3 linked regions of the Ovis aries genome follow. The protein of the gene in region 1 purifies or fractionates together with the protein of each later gene. This does not show direct contact. Links are inferred from orthologs where the notes say so. Each region holds a gene or a part of one and is shown on either strand. Other genes may lie near its edges. The genes, in order: USP12, DMWD and PHLPP1.

What was found.
Region 2: the proteins of USP12 (region 1) and DMWD purify together in Homo sapiens (affinity purification with mass spectrometry; 3 studies listed by BioGRID and IntAct, with this or other methods). This does not show direct contact. The link is inferred for Ovis aries from reciprocal best matches to the Homo sapiens genes USP12 and DMWD.
Region 3: the proteins of USP12 (region 1) and PHLPP1 purify together in Homo sapiens (affinity purification with mass spectrometry; 4 studies listed by BioGRID and IntAct, with this or other methods). This does not show direct contact. The link is inferred for Ovis aries from reciprocal best matches to the Homo sapiens genes USP12 and PHLPP1.

What each region holds. Positions count from the first base shown.
Region 1 is NC_056063.1:32,937,521-32,941,908, reverse strand, and holds the start of USP12 (ubiquitin carboxyl-terminal hydrolase 12), read right to left. Parts: upstream 2,829-4,388; 5' UTR 2,666-2,828; coding exon of another isoform or gene 2,618-2,665; intron 1,235-2,617; 5' UTR 1,188-1,234; coding exon 1,110-1,187; intron 1-1,109. UniProt on the Homo sapiens protein: Deubiquitinating enzyme that plays various roles in the regulation of the immune response and inflammation.
Region 2 is NC_056067.1:53,110,740-53,113,154, reverse strand, and holds part of DMWD (dystrophia myotonica WD repeat-containing protein), read left to right. Parts: intron 1-1,086; coding exon 1,087-2,355; intron 2,356-2,415. UniProt on the Homo sapiens protein: Regulator of the deubiquitinating USP12/DMWD/WDR48 complex. Functions as a cofactor that promotes USP12 enzymatic activity.
Region 3 is NC_056076.1:61,589,493-61,592,519, reverse strand, and holds part of PHLPP1 (PH domain leucine-rich repeat-containing protein phosphatase 1), read right to left. Parts: intron 2,575-3,027; coding exon 2,346-2,574; intron 1-2,345. UniProt on the Homo sapiens protein: Protein phosphatase involved in regulation of Akt and PKC signaling.

The sequences.
Region 1 (4,388 bases):
CCAAGTGCCTTTTGTCACAGGTGAAATAAAATTCTGTCAACTTTATTATTTATAGAATAAAATGTCAACTCACTATAAATGTTTTCACAGTTGCTGATTCTCTAAGAGATCCAGCCCCCTCCTCCCACCACCCAACACACAACCTCAATCTCAGCCACGTTTAGCCAAACGCACTCCCCCCAGACATTAGCATGGGATGGAAGGGACCCAGAGAAACTCTTGACTGTCCGCAGAAGGTAGTGCTCTACCAAACTGAACAAATAAACAACAGTCCCTCTGCTTAAGGCCTTTACAATCTATTATAATAAGGCGGTACAACATAGCCAGTGTTCTTGCCTGGAGAATTCCAGGGACAGAGGAGCCTGGTGGGCTGCCATCTATGGGGTCGCACAGAGTCGGACACGACTGAAGCAACTTAGCAGCAGCAGCAGCAGCAGCAGCAGCAATGTGAGAAGTACCACTGAGATTAAAAAAAATGCTGTGAAAAGACATGAGTGGGGATGAAGGCTGGGGATGGACAGGTGTAAGATTATTCAAGTAAGGCTACCCGCTTGAGAGAGAGCTGTGAATGCGCCAGAAATCTACAAAGGCACACAGGTAAATACTTTTCTTTTCTTGGTTGTCTACTTGGTGATATCTCAGAAGATAGGCTGAAGTCCTCCTTAAGCAAAAGATTGCAGGCTACTTTGAGATGTTCAACCCTATCTCGGACAGCGTCAGAGTTTTTATTCAAATATGAACACTGACACACCCAATTTTAACACTGCTTCAGGAGCAATCTCATTTGGCTGAGCACTGATGTTTCTGTATTTGCCAACAATACACACATCACACTACATGCAATTAATGCACCAGAGCAGAAGCCCTAGGAAGAACTCTAGAGCATAAGGTTCTTGAGATCAAGATCCCACTCAGTGTTTGACATGGCAAATTGCTCTGCCTCATTTTCTTAATTTGACTAGCGAATCTATAAATTCGTTGATGTGAATGATGCATGTTTCCCTTAAGTAGAAGGTAAACAACCCTGAAAGCAAGAGTCCCACTTGACTGCTGCTGTATCCCCAGCACTCAGCACACCCTCCTGCACGAAGTAGGTGCTAAATGTATACCTGAAATACTGGAGTGGATGAGCAGTCAGTAAGACAGACACATCTCTCCAGAAACTCTAGACTTTGACAGGGAACCATGACCCGGCAATCTGTGCAGGCTCGGCGGTCTGTGCAGGCTCAGCAATCTGGTGAGATTATCAAGATTATCATTTTCAAAGACTTAATTATCACATTCTTTCTGAAATAGAGTAAGATGATAACTGACACATCTAAACGTAATTTATCTACCTGACCCTTGGAAATCATCCTTTAATACGGTCCCTTTAACATCAATGCTTTCCTAAAATGTGAACTGTGCGAAAAAACATCCACTTGAAATGGACTCTTCATGATTCATTCTTCAGCGTGATGTCTTTAATACTGTAGATTTTAATCCCACCTGATTTCAGCCATTTTTAAAAATACTGGTTCTCAGAGTGCAGTTCAGAAATCTGCGGCTAAAAGCCATCTTTCCGATCGGATTCGCAGCTCCTTAAAGAAAGGTACAGGAAATGTACCACCCATACGAGGAAGACAGCTGGTGGGGGGCGGGGGGAATCTCCCACAGGCACAAAAAGGGCTGGGAAGGCGTAAAACAGAAGGAAAGACTGCAGGAGTCTTTAATAAACGAGATCGCTAGGCCCACGTGGTAGAAGAATAACTTTTTTTTTTTTTTTCCTGAGACGGCTCATAACTAAGATCGCCAGAGAGATCGCCAGATGTAAAAGTCATGAGGAGCTAAGGAAACGAATTCGCCCCCACCGTGTGAAGTGACAACGGGTACCCTGGCCAAGCACAGAACACCAAGATTTAAACGCACACTTGCTCTGCTTAACTCGGGACTTGTCCACGAGGCAGGAGCTCTTTTCCCCTGAAGCTCTTTTCCCCTTCTACTTAAAAATCCCCGACACGACACAAGACAGCGATGCTGCCGTCAGTTCCCGCACAGAAATACTTCCAAGTCACACACCGATGCGTCTGGTGCGTTCAAGTAAACAAACGACAGGAACGCTTAAGCTGTTCTCAGGATCGGCGGGCATTCCCGGACAAGACTCCCCAGCTCCAAACCAGGGAGCTCGGTCACCTCCGAGGAGGAGACACGGTGAGGGGAGGAGGGGGGGTCAGTTTCGACAGCACTTGAAAGTTTCCCTCTTCGCGCGCACACACACACACACACACACACCCGTCCCCCGGGCCCGGCGAGGGGACGCGGCCTCGCCAGGGCGCGGAGAGCAGACCTGCGCCGACTTCCGTGCGCGCGGGCCGGCAGCGGGACTTGCCTACCCCGCCGCGGCCCCGCGCGCTCCGGACGCAAAGGCGGGGACACCACGCGCGTGCTCCCGCCTCCGGCCCCCCAGAGCCGCGGCGATCGGGAGCACCGCCGGCCCGCGCCCCTCCCTGCCCACGCGCGCCCCGGGGCCGCTCCGCCCGCGTTCGGGCCGCGCCGTCCAACCGCCCCCGGCCGGCCCCGCGCTAGGCCCCGCGGGCGGCAAGGGCGGGGACGCGGGCCGCCCGCCCGCCGTACCTACCATGGTACAGATGGAGGCGAGTTTGGAGACCGTCATTAGGATTTCCATCCGCCCAGCGCCATCTTCCACCCAATCGCGGCGGCGGCGGGCGGGGAGGGAGGCAGCCGGGCCGCCCGCTCACACCGCGGGCCGACCCCGAGCCTCCGCGGACCCACGCACCGAGGCTGCTCAGCCGCCGCTGCCGCTTTCGCCGCCGGCGCTCCGGCACTCCCCGCCGCGGGCCCCAGCCCCCGCCTGCCTGCCGCCCGCCCGCCCCCGGCTCCTCCCCGGCGCAGGGCGCAGCCGCTGCCTCGCGGCCCGCGCCTGCCCGCCGCGCACCCCGCCCAGCGCGCTGGGGAGCGGGCTCCGCCGAGGCCCTAATGCCCGGCCTGCCCAGCAGATGCGCGGCCTGGCGGCGCGCCCGCCCCGCCCACCATCACAGGCACCGCCCCGCCCCTCCCACCTCCGCGCGCCCTGCCCACTCCTTCGCCGGCCCCGCCCACCGCCGGCGACCCCCCCACCGCCGCGCACCCCGCCCTCTCTCGTGCCGGCCCCGCCCACAGCAGCGAGCCTCGCCCGCCGCCGCGAGCCCCGCCCACTCCCGCGCCGGGCCCGCCCTCTCCCCGGACACCTCCCTCCCGCCTCCCTGAACGCGCCGCTCTGGGAACTCCCGCGCCGGCTCCACCCCGCGCTCGGCCGGGGCGGGGCTCGAGCGGCACCGCCTTCCGTCCGCGGCCCTCGCGGTCCTAGAGCCTGCGCTTCGGGTGAGGGACGAAGAGGGGCGCGGGGATGACTAGCGTCCATCCTGAAAGGAGCTGACCTCCAGCTTCTACCACGGCCGAGGGAACAGCTAGCCGCCACTGCCCAGCCAGAAAACTGAGGGGGGGGGTCTCGACAATCCTGGGTGCAATGGGGGGAAACCTGCTTCTGGACGGTTAAAATAGCCCAGGTCATCCAGCATCCCAAACGGCAAAAATGCAAGGTGGTTTGTCTCTTTTTACACACTTTGGGTGAATAACCTGGGTCAAAACACCATGATTTAGCGAAAGACAAATTAATTCAATAAACGTGAAAGGGGCAAAGAAGAAACTATATATATTTAGCTCTTTGAATCAAGAAAGGTAAATTACAAGGAAGGGGGCGAAGCTGCTTTCCTGCCTGCTTGTTGGCCATAAATTTAGAATTTGGTTATAAATATAGTTTCTAAATATATTTGTTCTGAAAGTCGAGTTGCAAAATAGGAAAGATCTCAACCCAGCAGTGACGATGATGTTCCCAGGGACAAGTAGTCCTGCAAGTGAGAAAAAGGTCCTGTGAGAAATGGTGAAGCTGGTGTTAGCCAGGAGAACAGTTACCATTTTCTGCTTTTGTAAAATGCATAATTTCACCCTGTGCTTCCTGTCAGGCAGGGCAGCTTCGTGTCTTCCTATCTGAGAAAGAAGTTCAAGTTAATAGAATATAAATTATTGTATTAGCCTGCTTGTGTGCTCAGTCACTCAGTCGTGTCTGACTGTTAGCGACCTCAAGGACTGTGGCTGGCCAGGCTCCTCTGTCCATGGGATTCTCTAGGCAAGAACGCTGGGGTGGGTTGCCATTGCAGGGGAATCTTCCCCACACAGGGATCAAACCCGCATCTCCTGTGGCTCCTGCATTGGCAGGCGGATTCTCCACCACTGAGCCACCTGGGAAGCCCTTATTGTATTAGAAAGCGTGATTTTTCACGATTAAAGAACTGTAGTCATGGAATGCTTTTTTGGGTTCCCCCATTTCAGTGGGGCAGAAATTCAGACGC
Region 2 (2,415 bases), on another chromosome or scaffold:
GAGGCAGGAGAAGTTACTGGGGAGAAGGACGTTCTGCATAGAGGGAACAGCTAGCACAGATGCCCAAAGCAGGAGAGCAGAAAGGCTGGGTGACCAGAGCAGTGTTGAGGGGGAGGGTAATAGAGGAGTTCTCAGAAACAACTCGGAAGGGAGAGGAGATGGAGGGTCTGGAAGGTCATGAACGCTTGCCACCTGGGTTCACCTGAGTTATAGAAAGCAGAAACGATTTGATTGATTTCTAAATTCTCCAGAGAATGCAGAATGGGAATCCACTTAGATACCTGGGAAAGAAGTTAATTTGTTACAGGCACTGGATGCCTAAGGGCTTTAAGACTTGGTTCTCTCCGGAGCCCTGCCTGATAAAGGCTGCCATGTGTGTTCAGAGTGGGAGAGAGTGCTAGGTTGCTGGCTTAGGTTTTAGTCGCATCTCTCTGGCAATGGTGTAGAGAAGAGACCTGGGCAGTGGTGGCCGGGAGGCCGGTTAGGCCATCACAAGCCTGATGAGGGCTGAGACCAGGGTGGTTGGATTCAGTGGCAGGGAGATGAGAACAGGTCCATTTCTGGGTGAATTTTGAAGCTCCAGCCCACAGGATTTGTTGCAGGTGTGGAAGAGAGTGCTGAGGACAAAAAGGAGCAGAGATGCTCAGTGGATAGGATGGGGGTTGTCATTGATGAGTCCAGGAACTACTTTCCAGGGCTCCTACCTGTGGAGCTCTGTGCTGTGGGGCCAGAACAATGAACCAAATAAGCAAAGGTCCCTTCCCTCAGGGGAGCTGATAGTCGGTGAATCAATTTCTTGCCTTAAGCATGACACGGTAAAGATGGTAGAGGGGCTTAGACAGAAGATGTTGCTCTGGAATGCAGGACTGCCCTCCTGCCGAAGAAGGGACATTGAGACTCTACAGCGCCCCTCACACAGCCTTTCTCCCCCTGCCTTCCCGTGCTGGTGTCTGTCCTTTTCCCTCAGCCCCTCCTCTCCTGGGAGACCCAGGCTGGGGATGATGACTTTCTGCCGGGAACCAGGCTCAGGGGGAGGTGGGCCAGGGGAGGGTGGCCTTCTCCCAACCGCACTCTCTCCCCTGGTAGCGGCTCATCGACAAGACCAAGGTGACGTATCTGAAGTGGCTGCCCGAGTCAGAGAGCCTGTTCCTGGCGTCCCACGCCAGCGGCCACCTGTACCTGTACAACGTCGGCCACCCATGCGCCTCGGCGCCGCCCCAGTATAGCCTGCTGAAGCAGGGCGAGGGCTTTGCCGTCTACGCCGCCAAGAGCAAGGCGCCCCGCAACCCGCTGGCCAAGTGGGCGGTGGGCGAGGGGCCCCTCAACGAGTTCGCCTTCTCGCCCGACGGCCGGCACCTGGCCTGCGTCAGCCAGGATGGCTGCCTGCGCGTCTTCCACTTCGACTCCATGCTCCTGCGGGGGCTCATGAAGAGCTACTTTGGGGGCCTTCTCTGCGTGTGCTGGAGCCCCGATGGGCGCTACGTTGTGACAGGGGGTGAAGATGACCTGGTCACCGTGTGGTCCTTCGCCGAGGGCCGCGTGGTGGCCCGGGGCCACGGCCACAAGTCCTGGGTCAACGCCGTGGCCTTCGACCCCTACACCACGAGGGCGGAGGAGGCGGCGGCCGCGGGCGCCGACGGGGAGCGGAGTGGCGAGGAGGAGGAGGAGCCGGAGGCTGGGAGCACAGGCTCCGGCGGGGGCGCCCCCCTGTCCCCGCTGCCCAAGGCCGGCTCCATCACCTACCGCTTCGGCTCGGCCGGCCAGGACACGCAGTTCTGCCTGTGGGACCTCACCGAAGACGTGCTTTACCCACACCCTCCCCTGGCCCGCACGCGCACCCTCCCCGGCACGCCCGGCACCACGCCGCCTACCGCCAGCGGCTCGAGGGGCGGCGAGCCGGGCCCCGGGCCCCTGCCCCGCTCACTATCCCGCTCCAACAGCCTTCCACACCCCGCAGGCAGCGGCAAGGCGGGCGGCCCGGGCACGGCGGCAGAGCCCGGCACACCCTTCAGCATCGGCCGCTTCGCCACGCTCACGTTGCAGGAGCGGCGGGACCGCGGGGCCGAGAAAGAGCACAAGCGCTACCACAGTCTGGGCAACATCAGCCGGGGTGGCAGTGGGGGCGGGGGCGGCGGGGACAAGCCCAGCGGTCCCGCCCCCCGAAGCCGGCTGGACCCCGCCAAGGTGCTGGGCACCGCGCTTTGCCCGCGCATCCACGAGGTGCCGCTGCTGGAGCCGCTGGTGTGCAAGAAGATCGCCCAGGAGCGGCTCACGGTCCTCCTCTTCCTGGAGGACTGCATCATCACTGCCTGCCAGGAGGGTCTCATCTGCACCTGGGCCCGGCCGGGCAAGGCGGTGAGTCTCTCCTCGCCGGCCCACCAGGACCCAGGCGGAGGCGGGCCTTGGCAGAGGGCT
Region 3 (3,027 bases), on another chromosome or scaffold:
TACCATTCAGAGTGATGGCCCTCATCTGAGACCACTGCCCACAGCTCAGCAACCAGCAGGTGTGGGGAGGTCCAGAAGCGGGCAGAGTTTTAAACTGAAGGAGGCTGAAACAAATTGCTGGGGAGATCCCAGTGAGACTAGGTAGGGAGAAGTGAAGTGTTTGGAGAGGCAGACACTTATTCAAGGAGAAAGGCGGCTTCTATAATTCCTGAGCTGACTTTGCTGGCAGCAAATGGAGACGGTGATGCCTCCCGCTTCAGTCCAGCTGGGTGCCCACCATCTGAACCATGAACCAAAGTTTCAGACCGTTTGCCAGTAAAAAGCTTTTACTCTGCGGCTGAAGCGAGGAGCCCTGGTATAACTGCTTGGTTCTTGATTCTTCAAGTTCTTCTGCAGAAACGGTTAATCTCTGCACCATGTGCTGTTGAGCACGGGACTCAATGCACAGTTAACAGTGTAACTCGGTCCCATCTGAGACTCTTCGCTCCCTACATGGCGTCTAGTGTCCACTTCAGTCCTCTCTGCTCTCAGAACAGGAGGGGCCTGGGGTCGAGAGGAAGACTCCTTTCCCAGACTCCCACGGTAGGTCCTGAGTTGTCTTCCTCACGGCCCTGGGCGAGCCTTCCTGGAGTCAGTCTCTCTCTACTGACTGCAGACCTCCACCACTGTCCACCTGGACATCACACGGCTCCTCGGGCTTTACTGACAAGCGAGACTGGACACCTCCTGTGGGCAGACAAGGGAATCACGTCGACAGCACCTATCCGTTTCAGGCACACAGAGGTGACCCCCACTGCAGGGTGAGCGTGTGAACAGAGTCCAGCTCTTCCAGCCCGTTCTGGAGGCTGTGCCGCAAGCAGCCTTCGGTGCCACAGCCCGACGGCCTTTCTCAGCAGCGGCACTTGGACCTTCCGGGCCAAAGACTGTGCTGTGGGGCCGCCCCGCACCGTGGAGGCTCAGAGGGGCCGCCCGGCACCGTGGAGGCTCAGAGGGGCCGCCCGGCACCGTGGGACGCTCAGCAGCGTCCCCGGCTTCTCCCTGGGCGTCCCTGGTGGCTCAGACGGTAAAGAATCTGCTGGCAATGAGGGAGGAGACCAGGGTTTGATCCCTGGGTCGGGAAGATCTACTGGAAAAGGAAATGGCAACCCACTCCTGGAGAATCCCAGAGACAGAGGAGCCTGGCGGGCTATAGTCCGTGGAGTCGCAAACAGTCAAACAAGACTGAGCGACTGACACACAGGCGCACACACACTGGCTTCTACTGGCTACGTGCCGAAAGCACGCACTCTCCACCCCAGTTGTGACAACAAAAATGTCCTCAGACATTACCAAGTGTCCGTGGTGTTGATGGGGGAATGGCCCCTGGCTGAGAACCACTCACCGCCTTATTTGCGTGCAGCAGGAGGCACGGACTGAAGTAACAACTAGTTAATTCACACTGATACGTACACTGGCCTCGGGAGCCAGACAGACGCCTCGCCACGCCCGCTTCACCCAGGAGGAAGCCGAGGCGCCGAGGTTGAAAGGTGACAGCCTGCAGGGCCCAGAGCCAGGAGGAGAGGAGGGCAGGCAGTGTGACCTCTGCGGGCCTGAGCCCTCTGCGGGCGCCCTGAGGAAAAGACAGGATGACCGTCCGGCTCTGACATGGAGAGGGCACCAGGCCTGAGCCCCCTGCGGGCGCCCTGAGGAAGGGACGGGGTGACCACCCGCCCTGACGCAGAGAGGCCACCGAACCTGAGCCCCACTGCGGGTGCCCTGAGACACAGCCAGAATGACCGCCTGGCCCGACGTGGAGAGGCCGTCGGGCCTGAGTCCCCAGTGGGCGCCCTGAGAAGGGGATGGGGTGACCACCCAGCCTGACACGGAGAGGCTGCTGGGCCTGAGCCCCGCGTGGGCGCCCCAAGGATAAGACGGGGTGACCACCCAGCCTGATGCAGAGAGGCCACCAGGCCTGAGCCCTCTGCTGGCGCCCCGAGGATGGGACAGGGTGACTGCCCGGCCCTACGCAGGGCCTGAGCCCCACTGCGGGCGCCCTGAGGAACAGCCAGGATGACCGGCCGGCCCCGACGTGGAGAGGCTGCTGGGCCTGAGCCCCCAGCGGGCGCCCTGAGGAACAGCCAGGATGACTGCCCGGCCCCGACGTGGAGAGGCCGCTGGGCCCTGTACTGTATTCTGCACGTATAATGACTCAGGCACGTCACACGCAGCCTGCTCTGTGATGCTGTGGATCCGGACCTGTCATCTCGGATCAGCTCCGGCGTCTACAGGACGCCGACGGAGATGCTCCCCGGCCGGTCCCGCAGCCCCCTCCCAGCCCCGCCCAACCTGAGGGAGACGGCCCTCACCTCGGTGATGATGGCCTTGTGCCGCTTGATTCTCTGCAGCTCCTCCTCGCAGCTCACAGCATATGACTTGGAGAGGGGCAGCGGCTCGCCGCTCCGGCACAGCACCGTCTGGCACTTGCCCACGTTGGCGGAGGTCAGGGTGAAGGGTCCTCCTGGGTCCCCAGGGTCGTGCCTGATGTGGCAAAGGACGGCAGCGCCTCCAAGCTTCTGCCCGGCTGTGCCCAGCTTCCTGGAGTGCAGAGACGGGGCTGAGAGACCACACCGCTGCCAGACGGCCACACGGGGCAGGGGAGCAGAGCTCGGGGCTCCACGCGGCGCCTTCACCGAAGCAGGGCCTGCCGGGCGCAGGGGAGCCCGCGACACTGGGCGCACACACAGGCACACACGCAGGGCCTGCTCCCAGCTGCGCGGGGCCGCTCCGCCACAGAAAGCCCGAGGAGCCGCTGAGGGACAAGGAGCCCTTACCCGGCTTGGTGTGGCCTGCGGCGCCCGTTTCAGTGCGGCCAAAGCCAGCGGGGGTGGCCGCGTCTCCCTCACCCTCTGCTCCCGAGAGGGGCGGGGGGGACCCAGCGCACAGGAGCAGGTGTGACCCCCCCACGACGCGTCAGAGTGGCCGATCGCGCCCCTCACGGGCTGCTTGCAGGCAGGAGCCTTCACACACTGCGCTGTTCATGTTCTTGTC